Lonchura striata: one gene and its partner. The protein of the gene in region 1 interacts with the protein of each later gene in a pairwise test. Links are inferred from orthologs where the notes say so. Each region holds a gene or a part of one and is shown on either strand. Other genes may lie near its edges.

Region 1 (7,480 bases):
TTGGCGATCTGGCTCCGCAGGTGGCTCAGCTCATCCTGGAGCTCTGTGGTCCGGCTCAGGGCTGGCAAACCAGGCTTCTTCAGGGCCAGCAGCTTCTCCTCCTGCTTCCTCAGGTTGGGCACCGAGGCGTTCCTCTGGATCACCGTGAAGGGACTCGGCTTCCACTTGTGCTTCAGCGGGCGAGTGTCACTTCTGGGGACAAAAACCTGTCAGTCACCACACCCAAACCTCTCCATGGCAAAGCCTGACCCGCTCTGAGGGCAGCAGAGCCTCCAACAAAACAAGTGAAGCCTCTGTGTACCACCAGAGGTGCTCTCTGAAGCACAGGAAATTGTGGCTGCCCCTGGATCCCTGGAAGTGTCCAAGGCCAGGCTGGACAGGGCATTTCAGTCCTGGGAGAACTCAGCCCTTCCACTTCCTGACCAAAAAACACCTTGGAGCAGGGGGTTACTGTGCACAGACCAGGGAGTGCCATGGCATGGCACAGGCTGCTGGCACTTCCTACAGGAATTCCTCTCCAGGGACTTTGTCAATTTTTTCCCCTTCTCTGGGGAAAAATGTCTTTTAAGAGGCACTACATCAGACCCAGAGGGGACTGGGAGCTGTGGTCATCTGAGCAGGGTCTGGCCTGAGTTCTGTGGCAGAAAGCAGCAGATGAAAACCAACCTGACCCTGGCGTAGGTCTCCTCATCATCCGCTGCGATCCACACGATGTCAGCCAAGGTGGGCACGGGGGGCACATCACCCAGATACAGATCTGAGACACTTGGCAGCACCTGGCAGGAAGGAAATGCTGCTGAGGAGATGCTGTTTGTTCTCCTGGAGCTGCCCCAGATGTGCTGTCAGAGGCCCTGTGCCGTGAGCAGCTGTGTCTGCCACATGCACAACAGCAATTCCAGCAGGTTTCCTTTAGTTTGCACCATTTTTTTATTTTTTGGAGCCGGGACATAAATCCTTCGGGTCTGGGCACTTCCCTGGGCCAGCTCCTGCTCCTTGCTGCTGTGTGTGCGAGGCAGGAGGGGACACCTGCCCCAGGCCAGGCGCTGCCAAGGCCACGTGCCACCCTCTGCTGCTCCAAGTGCCAGCCCTGCGCTCCAGGGGTGACATCGGGGACTCCACAATCCTGGAACAGGCCCAGAGGGCCCCTTGGAGGTCACACAGCAAAACCCTGCCTCAGCAGCTCCACCCTTCCCTCTCCTCCAGCTCAGACACTGCCTGAGCAGGGATTTCCCCAGGCTGCCAGTGATCACTTTACAAGAACAGAATTAAAGAAGAAATAAATAATAATAAATAAATACATTTATTAACTGTACTGGTGCAGGTTTTGTGTCTACAACCCTGCAGATGTGTGGGGCCAACACAGCAGCTGATGGCAGTGCCTTGTCCTGCCCCAGCTCCCCCAGCCACCCCCTGCCCAGGGGTCTCTCACCTCGAAGGTGGCCCTGGGACAGGGCTTCAGGGGCAGGTTGGAGCCGATCATCCTGACCACGCTGCGAGCCGAGCCATGGGGCTTGTTCTGCCAGATGGGGATGGTCTGCAAGGACCCACAGCACACGTTAATAGCTCCACTCATTAATCTGGAAATTCTCCTCAACTGCCAAGAGTCTGATGTCTGACTCTTTATCTCTTCACTTGTAATCTGTGATAACTGAGGTCCCCGTTTCACAAAACTGTTCAGCTGGGCACAGGTGACAGCCAGACAGGGGCATTTTGGACATGGGTGCAGTGTCTTCAGGACTGCAAACTGGAAGCACTCAGTAACAGGCACTCTCAACAGGCATTTTAACAAAGGAAATTTGGCATAAGGAGGAAAACAGCACCACACCAAGGGCCCAGGAGGAAAATGACATCAAAAGAGAGTGTCATTCACGGGACACTCCTGCTTTCACACCACCTTTAGCAGAAGCACTGTTAAATACCCCAGGGCAGCTGTGAGTCTCCTTCCCTGCACCTGCTGCTGAGGAACCTGCTCCAGGAGACCCTGCCTGAGCAGGGCTGGACCAGGTGACCTCCAGAGGTCCCTTCCCACCTGAGCTGGGATGAGCTGAACATTTTTGGGTGACAGGTGACAGGTCTATCCAGTGCCTGTCCCATGGGGAGCAGCCCTGGGGAGTGCTCTGAGAAACAGCAGCTGCTTTAGAGCTCCCAGGACACTTCTGAGCTGGACCCAAAAGGTGAAGTGCTCTGCCCGTGACAGGAACAGCACAAGGCTCTGCATAGAGAACACCACACTGACAAAGCTCAGCCCACAGCACACCTGATAATTGATTTATTGCTGCAGCTCGTTCTGTGCTGTCCCTGAGCGCTGCTCCATGCTGACACTCCTGAAATTCCTGAGGAGCCCTTCAGACCCAACCTCTGCGATGGGCAAGGGGAGGACAGATCTTGGCTGGGGCAGTGCCTGGGAGCTGCTGGTGGGGAAAGGTGCTGGGGGAAGGTTCTGGGGCGGCCCCCGGGGCTGGGACAGGTCACCAGGACAGGTACCTGGGGCTGGGACAGGTACCCAGGACAGGTCCCCGGGACCGGGACAGGTCCCCAGGGCTGGGACACATACCCGGGACTGGGACAGGTACCTGGGGCTGGGACAGGTACCGGGGGCTGGGACAGGTACCGGGGACAGGGGCCCAGGACAGGTACCTGGGGCTGGGACAGGTCACCAGGACAGGTCCCCGGGGCTGGGACAGGTCCCCAGGGCTGGGACACGTACCCGGGACTGGGACAGGTCACCGGGACAGGGACCCGGGACAGGTCCCCAGGGCTGGGACAAATACCCGGGGCTGGGACAGGTACCTGGGGCTGGGACAGGTACCTGGGGCTGGGACAGGTACCTGGAGCTGGGACAGGTACCTGGGGCTGGGACAGGTACCTGGAGCTGGGACAGGTCACCGGGGCAGGTCCCCGGGGCTGGGACACATACCCGGGACAGGGACCAGGCCAGGTACCCGGGGCTGGCACAGGTGCCCGGGGCCGCTCTAGGAGCAGGTGCCGGGGCAGTGTCCGGGTGTCCGGGGCAGTGTCCCGGTGTCCCGGCCCGTGTCACTTACGGCCTCCGCGTCCATCTCCGCTGGCTCAGCGCCGGCCGCTCATCGCACCCGCTCCGCTCGCTCACTGCAGCACACAAGGAGCGCTGCGGCCCGGCCCGGCCCAGAACAGCACGGCACGGCACGGCACAGCCCCGGTACCTGCGGGCCGGCGGCGCCGCTCCCAGCGCCGGCCGCGGCCGCTCCGCCGCCACCGCCCGGAACAGAACCGGGGCCCGCCCCGCGCCTTCCGGGGCCGCGGCGCCTGCGCCGGGCCGGGACAGCCCGGGACAGCCCCGGGACAGGGAGAGCCCGGGGATAAGGGGAGAGCCCGGGGACAGGGGACAGCCCCGGGACAGCCCGGGGACAGGGACAGCCCGGGGACAGAGAACAGTCCCGGGGATAAGGGGAGAGCCCGGGGACAGGGAGAGCCCGGGGACAGGGAGAGCCCGGCGACAGGGACAGCCCGGGGACAGGGGACAGTCCCGGGGATAAGGGGAGAGCCCGGGGACAGGGAGAGCCCGGGAACAGGGAGAGCCCGGGGACAGCCCGGGGAAAGGGACAGCCCGGGGAAAGGGGAGAGTCCGGGGACAGGGAGAGCCCGGCGACAGGGACAGCCTGGGGACAGGGGACAGCCCGGGGACAGGGGACAGTCCCGGGAGAGCCCGGGGAAAGGGAGAGCCCGGGGACAGGGGACAGCCCGGGGACAGGGGACAGTCCCGGGAGAGCCCGGGGAAAGGGAGAGCCCGGGGACAGGGATAGCCTGGGGACAGGGAGAGCCCGGCGACAGGGACAGCCTGGGGACAGGGGACAGTCCCGGGAGAGCCCGGGGACAGCCCGGGGAAAGGGACAGCCCAGGGATAAGGGGAGAGCCCAGGGAAAGGGGAGAGCCCGGGGACAGGGATAGCCCGGGGACAGGGGACAGCCCGGGGACAGGGGACAGCCCGGGGACAGGGAGAGCCCGGGGACAGGGAGAGCCCGGGGACAGGGGACAGCCCGGGGACAGGGGACAGCCCGGGGACAGGGAGAGCCCGGGGACAGGGAGAGCCCGGGGACAGGGGACAGCCCCGGGAGAGCCCGGGGACGGGGACAGCACGGGGACAGGGACAGCCCGGGGATAAGGGGACAGCCCGGGGATAAGGGGACAGCCCGGGGAAAGGGACAGCCCGGGGACAGGGGACAGCCCCGGGAGAGCCCGGGGACAGCCCGGGGACGGGGACAGTACGGGGACAGGGATAGCCCGGGGACAAGGGACAGCCCGGGGAAAGGGACAACCCGGGGACAGGAATAGCCCGGGGACAGGAATAGCCCGGGGACAGGGGACAGCCCCGGGAGAGCCCGGGGACAGGGACAGCCCGGGGATAAGGGGACAGTGGAGACACCCTGGCACAGGGGGGACATCCAGGGACACCCCCGTGCAAAGAGAATATTGGGGATACCCCGGTGTAAAGAAGACACTGGGGCCACCCCGGTGTAAAGGTACACTGTAAAGGGACACCCCGGAGTAAAGAAGGACATTGAGGCCACCCCGGTGCGGGGCAGCGCGCCCGGCTCACCCCTCGCCCACCCGCAGCCCCGGCGGAGGAAGGAGAGCGGAGGCCGGGCTGAGGCTGCACGGATGTTTTTACCGGGACTGCTCCGCCGCCCCCACGGATGTTTTTACCGGGGCCGCTCCGCCGCCCCTCCCGGCCGACATCGGCCCGGGCCCGCCGCGCTTTCGGGCCGGGGCGTCACCAGGCGCGGCAGGGGCGGCGGCGGGACCCGCCACCGAGGAACGGAGCGAACGGGCGGGCACAGCGCTGGCACCGACCCGCGGACACCCGGGCGGCAGCCGCGGAGCAGCCGGGCACCCTGACAGCGAGAGGGATACGGTGTCCCCTCGGGATCCCCCAGGCTGCTCGGCTTGGGGGTGGCTTTGGGGCTCCCTCGGCTTGGGGTGGCTTTGGGGCTCCCTCTGCCACTCTCCAGGCTCGTGGGAATAAACAGGGGATCTGCGGGATTGCAAACACTGCAGCCCTGCAGGGATGGAGGTGCCCGAAGGGGTGACAGAACTCTGCAGTGCTGCCCCGAGGCACAGCCAGACCCAGCTTGTCCCACTGGGCTGTGGGAAAGTGCAGAGCTGATGCATAGTTACAAAGCCAACACTGAGAAACATCCCGGGACCATTAATTAATCTCACTAGAGCAATTAGTGAAGTGACAGCCCAGAGGTGCAGCTAAGCTCAGTCCCCAGGCCATGGACAGGAAAGCTGGGGCATGGTGGGGACAGGGTAACTGCCACCCCCAGGCTCCTCCCAGCACCTGGAGCTCAGCAATGAAAATACCTCGTCAGAAGGGAGGGAAAAAAAAAAAAAAAAGCTTTTCCCTAAACTTGATTTGGTCCAACAAAATTGTGCTTCAGAGAGCAGAAAAAGCATCACCAGCCAGGGCTGGCTGCAGGCAGCTACTGAGGATGCTTTGTCCCCTCACATGTCTGTAGGAATATGCCTTAAAACCCGTTCCACTGAACCTTTCCTTCTCCAAATTACAAATTATGCTCATTCTGTATCCAGGCATTGGCACAGAGTGGGAGCAACTGCTCAGGGTGGCTTCAGGTAAGGGAAAATGGCTTAATGTCTGAACAATCTCTTTGGAAAAAATTCCTGAAAATAACTGTTTGTACTTCTGGCTTTTAGAACTGCCCAGTCCTCACCCAGGTGAGGCTCTCAGGGGAGTTCCCAGAGGGAACTTCATGGTTCCTCACCCAGCACAACCTGGAAGCTCAAAGCAAACAGGGACAGAGCAGGAGCTCCAAGGGGGCACTGGGAGAAGCTCCCAGAGCGGCTGGGGAGGGAGCCCTGGAGGGATGGATGGGTGGGACACTGCTCACTGCTGTGTCCTCCAGCCTCCTGGGGGCTCAAACTCATCCTCACCTCACCCCTCTGATGCCCACTGCTGGTCCCCGTGCCACCCTCGGGGCACAGACCCTGCCCGAGTGAGGCCACCAGGTGACACAGGGCGCTGGGGGCTGCTCAGGGCTGTCACACGCGGCTGCCACCGTCCTGTCACACAGATTGTCACTGTCAGGCAGTGTCCAGAGCTGCCCCAGGACAGCAGGCTGTCCTCACCACGAGTGTTCGGTCACAGTGGCAGTGCTGCTCCCTGCACTCAGCAAGTCCTGGAGATCAGCAGGCCCGTGGTTACACCAGTCCCACCAGGCTGAAAGGAGCTGCAAAGAAATGAGGCTGGGTGGCACAGCCAGGCAGGTGCACTGGGAATGGGTTCAAGTACTTGCACTGCTGTAGAAATGTGCCTGAACTGAGAAGGGCAGGCTGTGTAAACTGGAGCTCAGGCTCAAACCAAGGTCCTGGCCTGGGACTGCCTGCAGCTCAACACCAATGTCTGGCACGGAGATGAGGAGGCTTTGCTGTAACCAAAATAGATCTCTGAAGTCTTTGGCCATCTCAGTGGGGTGTTCAGGTGCCTGTTTTTAGGGCTGCAGGTATGGCTTTGCTCTGTGCAGCCCTTCCTTCAGGAACTGGAGGTAAGTTGCAGTTGAAGGGTCTTCAAAATTGGTTGAGAAACTAAAGATGCTGCTTTCAGCATCTTCAGGCTTCATAGAAGTAATGTCCAGGAAATAGTTGGCATTGATGTGGTGAATCTGGCAAAGAGAACAGATGAGAGGAGACTTCTAAGGGTCAGAACAATTCCCCATCCACTGCCTTGGCCTGCAGCCAGGACAGAGCTGTAACAGCTCCTACAGAATATCTAATTCTTTCCAAGTGCTAATTCAGGAACCAGAATTCGGGTCTGACTTTCACAGTCACAGAAGAATGTGTGATCTTCCCCCAAGGGTGCTGACCCTTTGCTTAGGTTAAGAAGAAGATGAAGGTGATTTGGGAAAAATCATGGAGGCTCAGCTCATGTGTGTGAGCAGGAGCTGGGGAGATGGAGCCTGGGGTGCACCTGAGCTTCCAACACTTCCTGCTGCCCCAGAGATGGCAAAGGGGGACCCTGACCCACTGTCACAGCCCACAGCCTCATGGGGACAGCAAGGGGACCCTGCAGCTGTGACCAGCAGTGTCTGGGCAGGACTAGCCCAGCCCAGCAGCTGACCCAGCCAGCACCAAGCTGCCATGTGTTAGCAACTGCTCCCCAAATCCAGAGGGAAGGGCAGTGGGAGCTGCTGGGAGCACAGCAGAGCCAGAGCTGGTTAACAGCTGATCTGCTGTGACCCATTTGGGGAGATAAATGTGCTGGTAGGTGCTGATCAGGACATTTTCTTCAAAGGATGAGCACAAAGGGCCATGGGTGCAGGAAACAAAGCTACAGTGGCTTCCCAAACCTCAGGGACAGTGAGGAGTCACAGTTGGTTCAAGTCTGTTCTGCCCCTGCCCAGAGCTGCTGCTCTTCTGTCTCTGAACTAAAACACATTTGTTCCAGATTTCCAGGTGGAGGGACAAAGGCTCAAGGGCAGTCCCA
Region 2 (8,013 bases), on another chromosome or scaffold:
AGAAAAACTGACAAGATAACCAATTAAAAGCACAAAACCAGATGTAGAAAAGAAGTAGCATAACATGAGGATGACAATAGTATAAATATGAAGTAGTAAGCTAAAACAGGCAAGCTACAAAGTGGGTTCCATCTTACAGGCATAAACAAAGGCCTACATCTATTAGCAGTAAGAGGCAAGGAAGACAACCATGATGCAACAGGAAAGAAAGCAGTGTGCCATATGGATAGTCAGTATGTATTCAGTGCTTTCCCCTGACAATGGCAGGTTAAATGGACAGGTGATAGCATGGATTACAGACAATGCTGACAAGCTATAAGCATCCAGCACAACAATATCTAGTGAATTTCACCTTGCAATGTTCAAAAACTTGTCAAAGCAATTTTTGAAATATTGATAATTAATTTCTGAAACTTGGTCAATGGGATTCAAATTCCCAGGAATAAAAGAAGGAATACGATGACACAAAGCACTGGAAATAGTCCAAAACACTTATCCTGCCCTAAAATATTAAGGTGATCCTTAATAATTCCAGGTTCCAAGACTCCGATGACTGAACATGAAAGAGCAATCATTCAACAAAATGACTACAGTAAAACAAATATTTATAGTTCACTTTGTAAGTCATTGTTTCCTCTGTAGCCTAAATACTTAAAGTACTTGAGACTCATCAATATCTTGCCCTTTCAATGACCTGTCTGTTTTTGCAGAAGAAAGTGACTGAAATCAACCTGAAAGAGCACAGAGTAACACCCAGTTCCTGGATTAGCTTCTTTAGTTTGTGGCACTAAGGAAAACCACCATATTTGAACAACCTCCAGCTGATCTGTTATCTAAAAGACAAATACTTCAAAACATATTTTTATATGAGTTTACAGAATTATTTCCAGGCAAGCTTCATACTTATTTCTTTCAGACTATGTTGCACTATACCTTTCTTCACAAAACACAAATATTTCACAATTGGTTTATGTGCCAAGAACAGACAGGGTTCATTCCAAAAGAAACTGCTGGACAGCAAGAATGAAATCATTAGCAAATTCTTTTCTCATGCTCTGTATACATGTCATTTTCAGAAGCAGAAGTTACATGTTAATTGCTTTTAGTAAGCAGTATAATACCTTTCTTAAAATATCGATCTTTGTGGTATTTATCCTCTCCTTGGTGCCACCTACAGTAAAAATAGTTTAATTCCCAAAAAATTTCCATAACTCAATGACTACAATGAAGAGCCCCGAGTGACAGTAATACTGCCATTAAAAATGGTCCTTCTCCTGTGCCTCAGCAAAACGATTACAAGGATGAGCAGCAGTGATAGACAAGATTACCAAGACATCCAAAGAGCAAAGAATTACATTTCACTGCATAAAGCATGAAGGGGTTGGAATTTCATAGGTTCATTTCAATGAAACCCAGAAATTAGCAATGCTGGAGAGCTTTCTTACTGATATGGAAATATGGAGGAATTCCTTGGCTTAGAAATGAGGAGGGCTACGTTTCCAAGCCTCCTAGAGATTGTTTGTCCCTACCTTTCCCAAACACTTTCGCAGGCTCTGTTCAATACTCTCATATCAAATATCAAGTCTACAAAGCTGAGAGATAATACCACCTATAGATTACAAAAAGTTCGTTAAATAAATACAAAAGCTCTGGAATTTCTACACATAAAGTATAATATCCAGTAATTATGAACAAGACCCCTTTGTCACGCTTTTTAGTGAGTCCTACACATGAAAGGTTGAAAGAAAATCAGATGCAACTGCTTTCAAATTCAAATTCCTCTATGAGTTTTTGCAATGTTGCATTTATCCAAGTCCCCTTCAGAACATGAGCTTTTGCTCTTTAAAGGAAATAGGATATTAATTTTTTTTTTTTTTTTTTTGCTGAAGGTTTCTCTCACTCATTTAGGATCCCTACAAACATAAGAGAATGACTTAATGGGATTGATGGAGCAGATTACCCTTAACAAAGAACAAACAAAGATATGAAATCTGAAAAATGAAAGGTATAGTCTCTAAATTCAAAAGACATAACTTTAAGAAGTATAAAATTTTCAAACAACCATAGATTCAAAGGAATACCAGCCACATAAAAAATGAAATGCATAAAGACCAGGCTCCTCCTTATTTTAGCAAGAACTAGGGCAAGCATGTCTCCTCAGTCTTTTAGACTACCACATGACCCAACCTAATAAAATTACATCCACAAGGAAACATAATTTAAAAAGTAACAAAGGAAGATAAAGCAAAACAAACCCCATTATCACAACAGCCAAGTGGGCAGAAGAATCTTTGGATAAAGGTAGAGATTCTGTTCCAAACTGACACAGACCAGCTACAAGCAAAGTAAATATGCATTTGTCAGAGGTCATACAGCCAGAAACAGGAGACTGTTTTTTGGTGTGGAAGCTACAAATAATGGAGCACTCCAGTACTAACAAAACCACCTGTTTGGAAAGATATGAAGAGAGAGATAAATATGAGTCAATACTACAGGGATAATCTAAGCTAGTACTGGTATGAAATTTAAAGCAGGAATTGAAAATCATACATACTTGCAACAGAAATTGCTAAAGCTTTCTTAAAAATATAGCCCCATTGTATTTACCTGAACATGCAAAACCTATTAATCAGATTTCATTCATGCTATCCTATCTTGACAGCTAAGGACAGAGCAAAAAAAAAAAAAAAAACAAAACACCCCCAAAAAACATGTTTCTGCACTAGTTTAATCAAAAGCCTTTGCTCAGCAATGATTATACCTGCAGAGTGCACTATGATACCACTGAGAGGTAAGTGAAACCCTTCAACACCCATAGATCACAAGGAATTATTATATGACAAACACCTGCACTTCCCTGCTGGACAGACAGACCTCCCCACCAGCTGCTGTGCGGAGTCTTTCTGCTACAGCTTTGAGAGACAACTGCAGGTTAAGTCTCACAAACAAAAGGGTGTGTTTGTCTGAAAAAGCATTTAAAATGTCCAACTTTCCCCCCAGATATCTCTCTGTGTAACAACGCCGAGTTCCTACACACAGTTATCAAATTGTAGCTAGTGACCTCTACGAAGCACATTATTTGCATTCAGCAACAATCAGAACTTTTAGACCTGATGTGCAGATAACTGAATTGAGTCATTTTTATCACCCAGGTAAAAGCCAGTGGGGATCAGAAGACATAATTCCTATTAATATTTGTAAGTCTTGCCTTCACAAGAGCTGCAGAGCACTCTGAGGACAGCATGTTAATATTAATGCAGTACTGCTTATGCTGTTAGGCAGAGATCAATGCACTACGATTGATTTCAGCATGCAAACTCTATTCACCCTCAATATTTGGAATTTCAACAGCTCGTTAAACAAAATGAATACACTCACCCAGCAAGTTATTTATTTATGACCACTACAGAAGAACCTGAGAAGGGCAGCAGTATCACTAAAGGTGCACAAAGCAAGCAGCGTAGTTTTACAGAAAATAAAATAAAACCACCGTAACCATTACGGCTCTTTTTCCCTCTCATCCGCCAACTCTCTCCTTCAAAGCGTCCTTAAAAAACTTCCCACATTATCTCCACAGGAGCTTGTATTTACATTACTCCCCGTGACCTGTCACCTTCTCATCACAGTAGGTCCCCTGCACGAACAAAAGCTTCGGCCCAGCACCTCGAGGCGCTTCCACGGTCCTGCCGGCACCTGCCCTGCCCGGGAGAGCGGGGCCGCACCGAGCGGCCTGGACGTGCTTCCAGGCAAGCTTCCCCTCCCGCACCGCCCCTCGCCCGGGATCGGCCGCGCCAAGAGGGGCTGCCCAGGAAGGAAGGGATTGCCCAGGAGGAAGGAAGGGACTGCCCAAGGGGAAGGGGAGAACCGCGGCCGCCGCCACTGCCGCCGCCGCCACCCCCCCCGCCTCACCCGCCGCCGCGGCCGACGCGCTCCCTCACCCGCTGCTCGCGCGGCCGCTCGCGACCCTGCCTCGGCAGCCAATCCGCGGCCGGCTCGGCGCCGCTTCGGCCAATCCGCGGCCGGCTCGGCGCCGCCCCGGCCAATCGCGGGCCCGGCGGCGGGCGCGGGAGGCGGGACGTGGCGCGCGCTGCGGGGGTGAGGCGCTACCCGGCAGGCGCCGAGCCGGCAGCGAGCGGGGGAGCCGCCCCCCGCGCGGTCACGTGAGCGAGACCCGCCAATAGCGGCGGGACCCGCCAATAGAGGCGGGACGCCGGCTGCGCAGCCGGGATGGGCGGTGCCGGTCCCGGTCCCACAGCCACAGCCTTTAGCCCTAGCCCTAGCCTCAGCCTCGTGGGGTCGGTCTCGTCTCCCTAGCAACTAGCGAACGGGATAAAAGACACAGCTTCAAGCTGTGCCGGGGCAGGTTCAGGTTGGACAGTAGGAGGACTTTGTCCACAAAGCGGGTGATTAAACGTTGAGTTGGGCTGGCGTGCGAGGCGGTGGAGTCACCATCCCCGGAGGTGTTTGTGAAAGGCTGGATGTGGCACTCAGTGCCCTGGTCCCCATGACACGGTGGATGCTGAACCTGGTGCTGTTAGAGGTTTTTTCAGCCTTAACGATGCCTTGGTTTGATACCAAACCAAATCTAATTTCGGTATCTCGTGGGGTGGGAAATACCTGCTTCGGATTTTGACCCAGGAGATTCACACTCCCTGTCCATACAACATCAGGTGTGATTCACTCTAGATTGTTTTACAGAGCACGCTACACTTTATTTGGGCAGTAAATTCAAGTTCTGGTGGTAGCCGCCTTTGGACAAAAACAAACCCAAAACAAATGGAGCTTTGCGAGGGGTGTGTTTCTGTACTACAGCGCTCGGACTACACCTCCCTGCCTGCACCGCGCCCCTCCCGCGAACAAGAACCCCCACGATTGGCGGAGGGCCGCGCTGGGTACGCGCCAATCGCGGTGCGCGGTGCTGAGCGGTGCGGGGTCAGAGCGGGCTCCGGTGGGCGGTGCGGACGCTCTCGTTCCGGTGCTCATCCCGCGGTTCTTCCCGAGCCTCTTCCCGTGCTCCTCCCGCCGCTCTCCGCAGGCCGCCCCGCCCCGCGGGACATGGGGGCGCGGAGCTGAGCTGCGAGTCCGCCCGGGGACGGCTTCTGCGACGGTACGGCCCTGCCGGGGAGGGGAACAGGCCGCGCCGGGAAGGACCGTGAGGGGGCGGCGTGTGCGACCGAGACCCCCCTTGCCTTCCAAACACATCCCGGAGCTCCTGCTGCCGGTGACTGCGGGGCTGAGTCTCCGCCGGCCTGGGGAGCTGCGTCCCGGGCCTGGTCCCAGGCGGGCTGAGGCCTCGGCCGCCTGGGGAGGGCTGCAGCGGAGCTGTGGAAGTGCCTCCAGGGCCGCCCCGGCCACAGCGCACAGCGGAGGGGGAGACAGGGTTGTGGTGCCTGGGTCAGGCTTTGATCTCAAAGCTACGAACAGGGGACAGGGGCAGGCATCTAGCTCGCTGCTCTGCCACGCTCCTGAATTATAGATATCTTATAACTTTTAAGACCACCTATTTTTTTTTTTTTAATTAAAAAATACTGCGGGAAGCGGGCAGGGGCGCGAGTTTTAGTGGAATTGATTGTTGCAGGTCGCGGAGAAGGGTGAGGGTTTCAGAGCTGTCTCCGGAGTTGAAGCTTAGGAGAGATGGAGAAGAGTCTGAGGATAACAGAATCATGTAATGGTTTGGGTTGGAAGGGACCTTGAAGAACATCTAGTTCTAAGCCCCCTACCCTGAGCAGGAACACCTTCCACCAGACCACGTTGCTCAGAGCTCCATCCATGTTGGCCTTGAACACTTCTAGGCATGGGACATCCACAGCTTCTGGGTAACTTGTTCAAATGCATCACCACCCTTCCACTCTCTAATCCAAACCTGCTCCCTTTTCAGGTTAAAGACCTTAGCCCTTGTCCTGTCACGGTGTGCCTTTGTGAAGGCATATAGTGATATGCCTTTGTCCCTCTCCATCTTTCTTGGAGCTCCCTTCAGATGAGTGTAGCCTAATGGAATAGGAGAGGGTAAAACTTGGTTTTGTCGGTGGGTTTTTTCAGAGGATTAGAAGTAAAAAGACAAAAGGTGATCAGGATGGAAAGAATTATAAGAATAAGCTGGTGCTTGGAAGAAGTCGGAGACTTTGGTTAGCATCAGCTTCACTCCTGACTTGATTTTTAAGTCTTGAATAGTAAGTTCCTTCCTGTACTATGGAAAATATTTAATAACATGCAACAGAGTTGGTTTGGTTTTGTTTGGTGGTTTTGTTTGCTGAGGTTTTGTTTTGTTTCTTTTTATATTAGAGTTTTTCCTTTGGAAACACAAACTTGTATTGGTTGTGCTACTGTATTTCCCAGTTGATATCTTTTTGATTTCTGATAGTCCATAAAAATAGTCTGGAAGCTAATAATTGGCCTGTACTTTTCACTCTAGCACTCTCCTGAAGTAAGAAGCATTGACTTAGATGTTAACAGCATTTTTTCTCATTGAAAATTTCAGAAATTATCATAATCTAAACACATGTTTATGGTTCATTCTTTTTGATGAGTGTGGTAAATTTATGTTCTTCAGGGGCCAACCTTCAGTGAAGAAAAACTATTTAATGTTGGCAAATGATGCTAAAAGAATGTGATTGCTTAAAAATTGTGTTTGTTCTTTATTTGGGGGTAAATAAGTGATTTAACAAATTAACAATATGTATTCACTCCCACTTTTGTGCCTAAAGTTACTTGGCTGAGTTGGTACTGGCAACAACCAGGACTACAGTTAGCATTTAGTAGTTTCTGAGGCACAAGGAAACTGTTTTTTTTACTCCAAGATTTTAGCATTTTCTCTGAACAAACATATGCTTTTGTTGCCTGTTAAGTAGTTATTATTAAACAGCTCTGCAATCTGATACTCTCACACTAACACGTCTCCTTTGAAATCGATCTGGTGGCTTGGACTTCGACTGGAGCAAGGCGTGACCTGCTTGCTCTCTTTTATCGAGGGATACTTGTGAAAAGGAGAAAAAACAACTCAAACACAGCCTCTAAAGCCCTTTCTACCTTTGAATGTATGGCATTACATTAGTTATTTGATATATAGAATAGAGCTTAATGTTCACTGTTCTTGATGCACTGTTAGTATTTTGTTGATTTTTGTGGTTCATTTTTCTGTAAAATTTTTTGATTGCCAAAGCTACTCTGAAAAGATTTTGTTTTTTGCACCTTTACACAGAAGGATGTTTATAGACTTCTAGGGTGCCTTGTGAGAAGACTGGATTTATTGAAAACATTTGTCACTGGTGTAAGGAGAAAAAAACAACACACAAGACTCCATAAAGATTGACTGGTCTGAAATGATGCATACGAAACAAATAAAAATCTTATTATCCAAATATATCTGTTCTCTGCACAGGAAGTTTAGATTTCCAGTTTATAAATTCCAGGACCCACACATCCTTACCAATTCCATCCACCTACCATGAATTCTAGTCCTTGAGTTTTTATACCTTTTTGTTTTGAACAAATAATTGCCTTTGTCCTTTTTTTTGTCTCTGTTTTAATTGATGATAAATGTTGTGATAGTAGTAATATATTTTTTTTTCCAGCATGTATTTTGTATGAATGGTGCAGAAAAGATGAATTCTGCTATGAGTGAGGAGCCTGATGCACTATCCGTGGTTAACCAACTCCGAGATCTAGCGGCTGATCCATTGAACAGACGGGCCATTGTTCAGGATCAAGGATGCCTGCCAGGTCTTATTCTGTTTTTGGACCATCCCAACCCTCAGGTTGTTCATTCAGCTTTACTAGTAAGTATTCTGGATAAATTTCTGTGTTAGTAGGGCATTTTTAAACTTCACTAAACAAGTTGTTTAAACAAGCAGTTTACAAATGAAACTGTTTAAACATGAAAAATAATGCCTGGTTTTATATCGTGTTGATATTCATTGCATGTCTTTTTAACAAAAAACATGTATTTTAAAAATGACACATTGCAGGGGATTTTTGAAAAGATATTAATTTACTTTGCATTTTTTCCCTAGTACA

Evidence for each region.
Region 2: the proteins of MTFR1L (region 1) and ARMC1 interact in binary tests that used the Homo sapiens proteins (3 or more experiments, as listed by UniProt). The two-hybrid records come from large-scale screens. The link is inferred for Lonchura striata from reciprocal best matches to the Homo sapiens genes MTFR1L and ARMC1.

The regions. Positions count from the first base shown.
Region 1 is NC_134628.1:448,997-456,476, forward strand, and holds the start of MTFR1L (mitochondrial fission regulator 1-like), read right to left. Parts: upstream 3,229-7,480; 5' UTR 3,060-3,228; coding exon 3,045-3,059; intron 1,535-3,044; coding exon 1,430-1,534; intron 777-1,429; coding exon 667-776; intron 193-666; coding exon 1-192. UniProt on the Homo sapiens protein: Mitochondrial protein required for adaptation of miochondrial dynamics to metabolic changes. Regulates mitochondrial morphology at steady state and mediates AMPK-dependent stress-induced mitochondrial fragmentation via the control of OPA1 levels.
Region 2 is NC_134603.1:35,405,470-35,413,482, forward strand, and holds the start of ARMC1 (armadillo repeat-containing protein 1), read left to right. Parts: upstream 1-4,919; 5' UTR 4,920-5,107; intron 5,108-7,571; 5' UTR 7,572-7,583; coding exon 7,584-7,775; intron 7,776-8,013.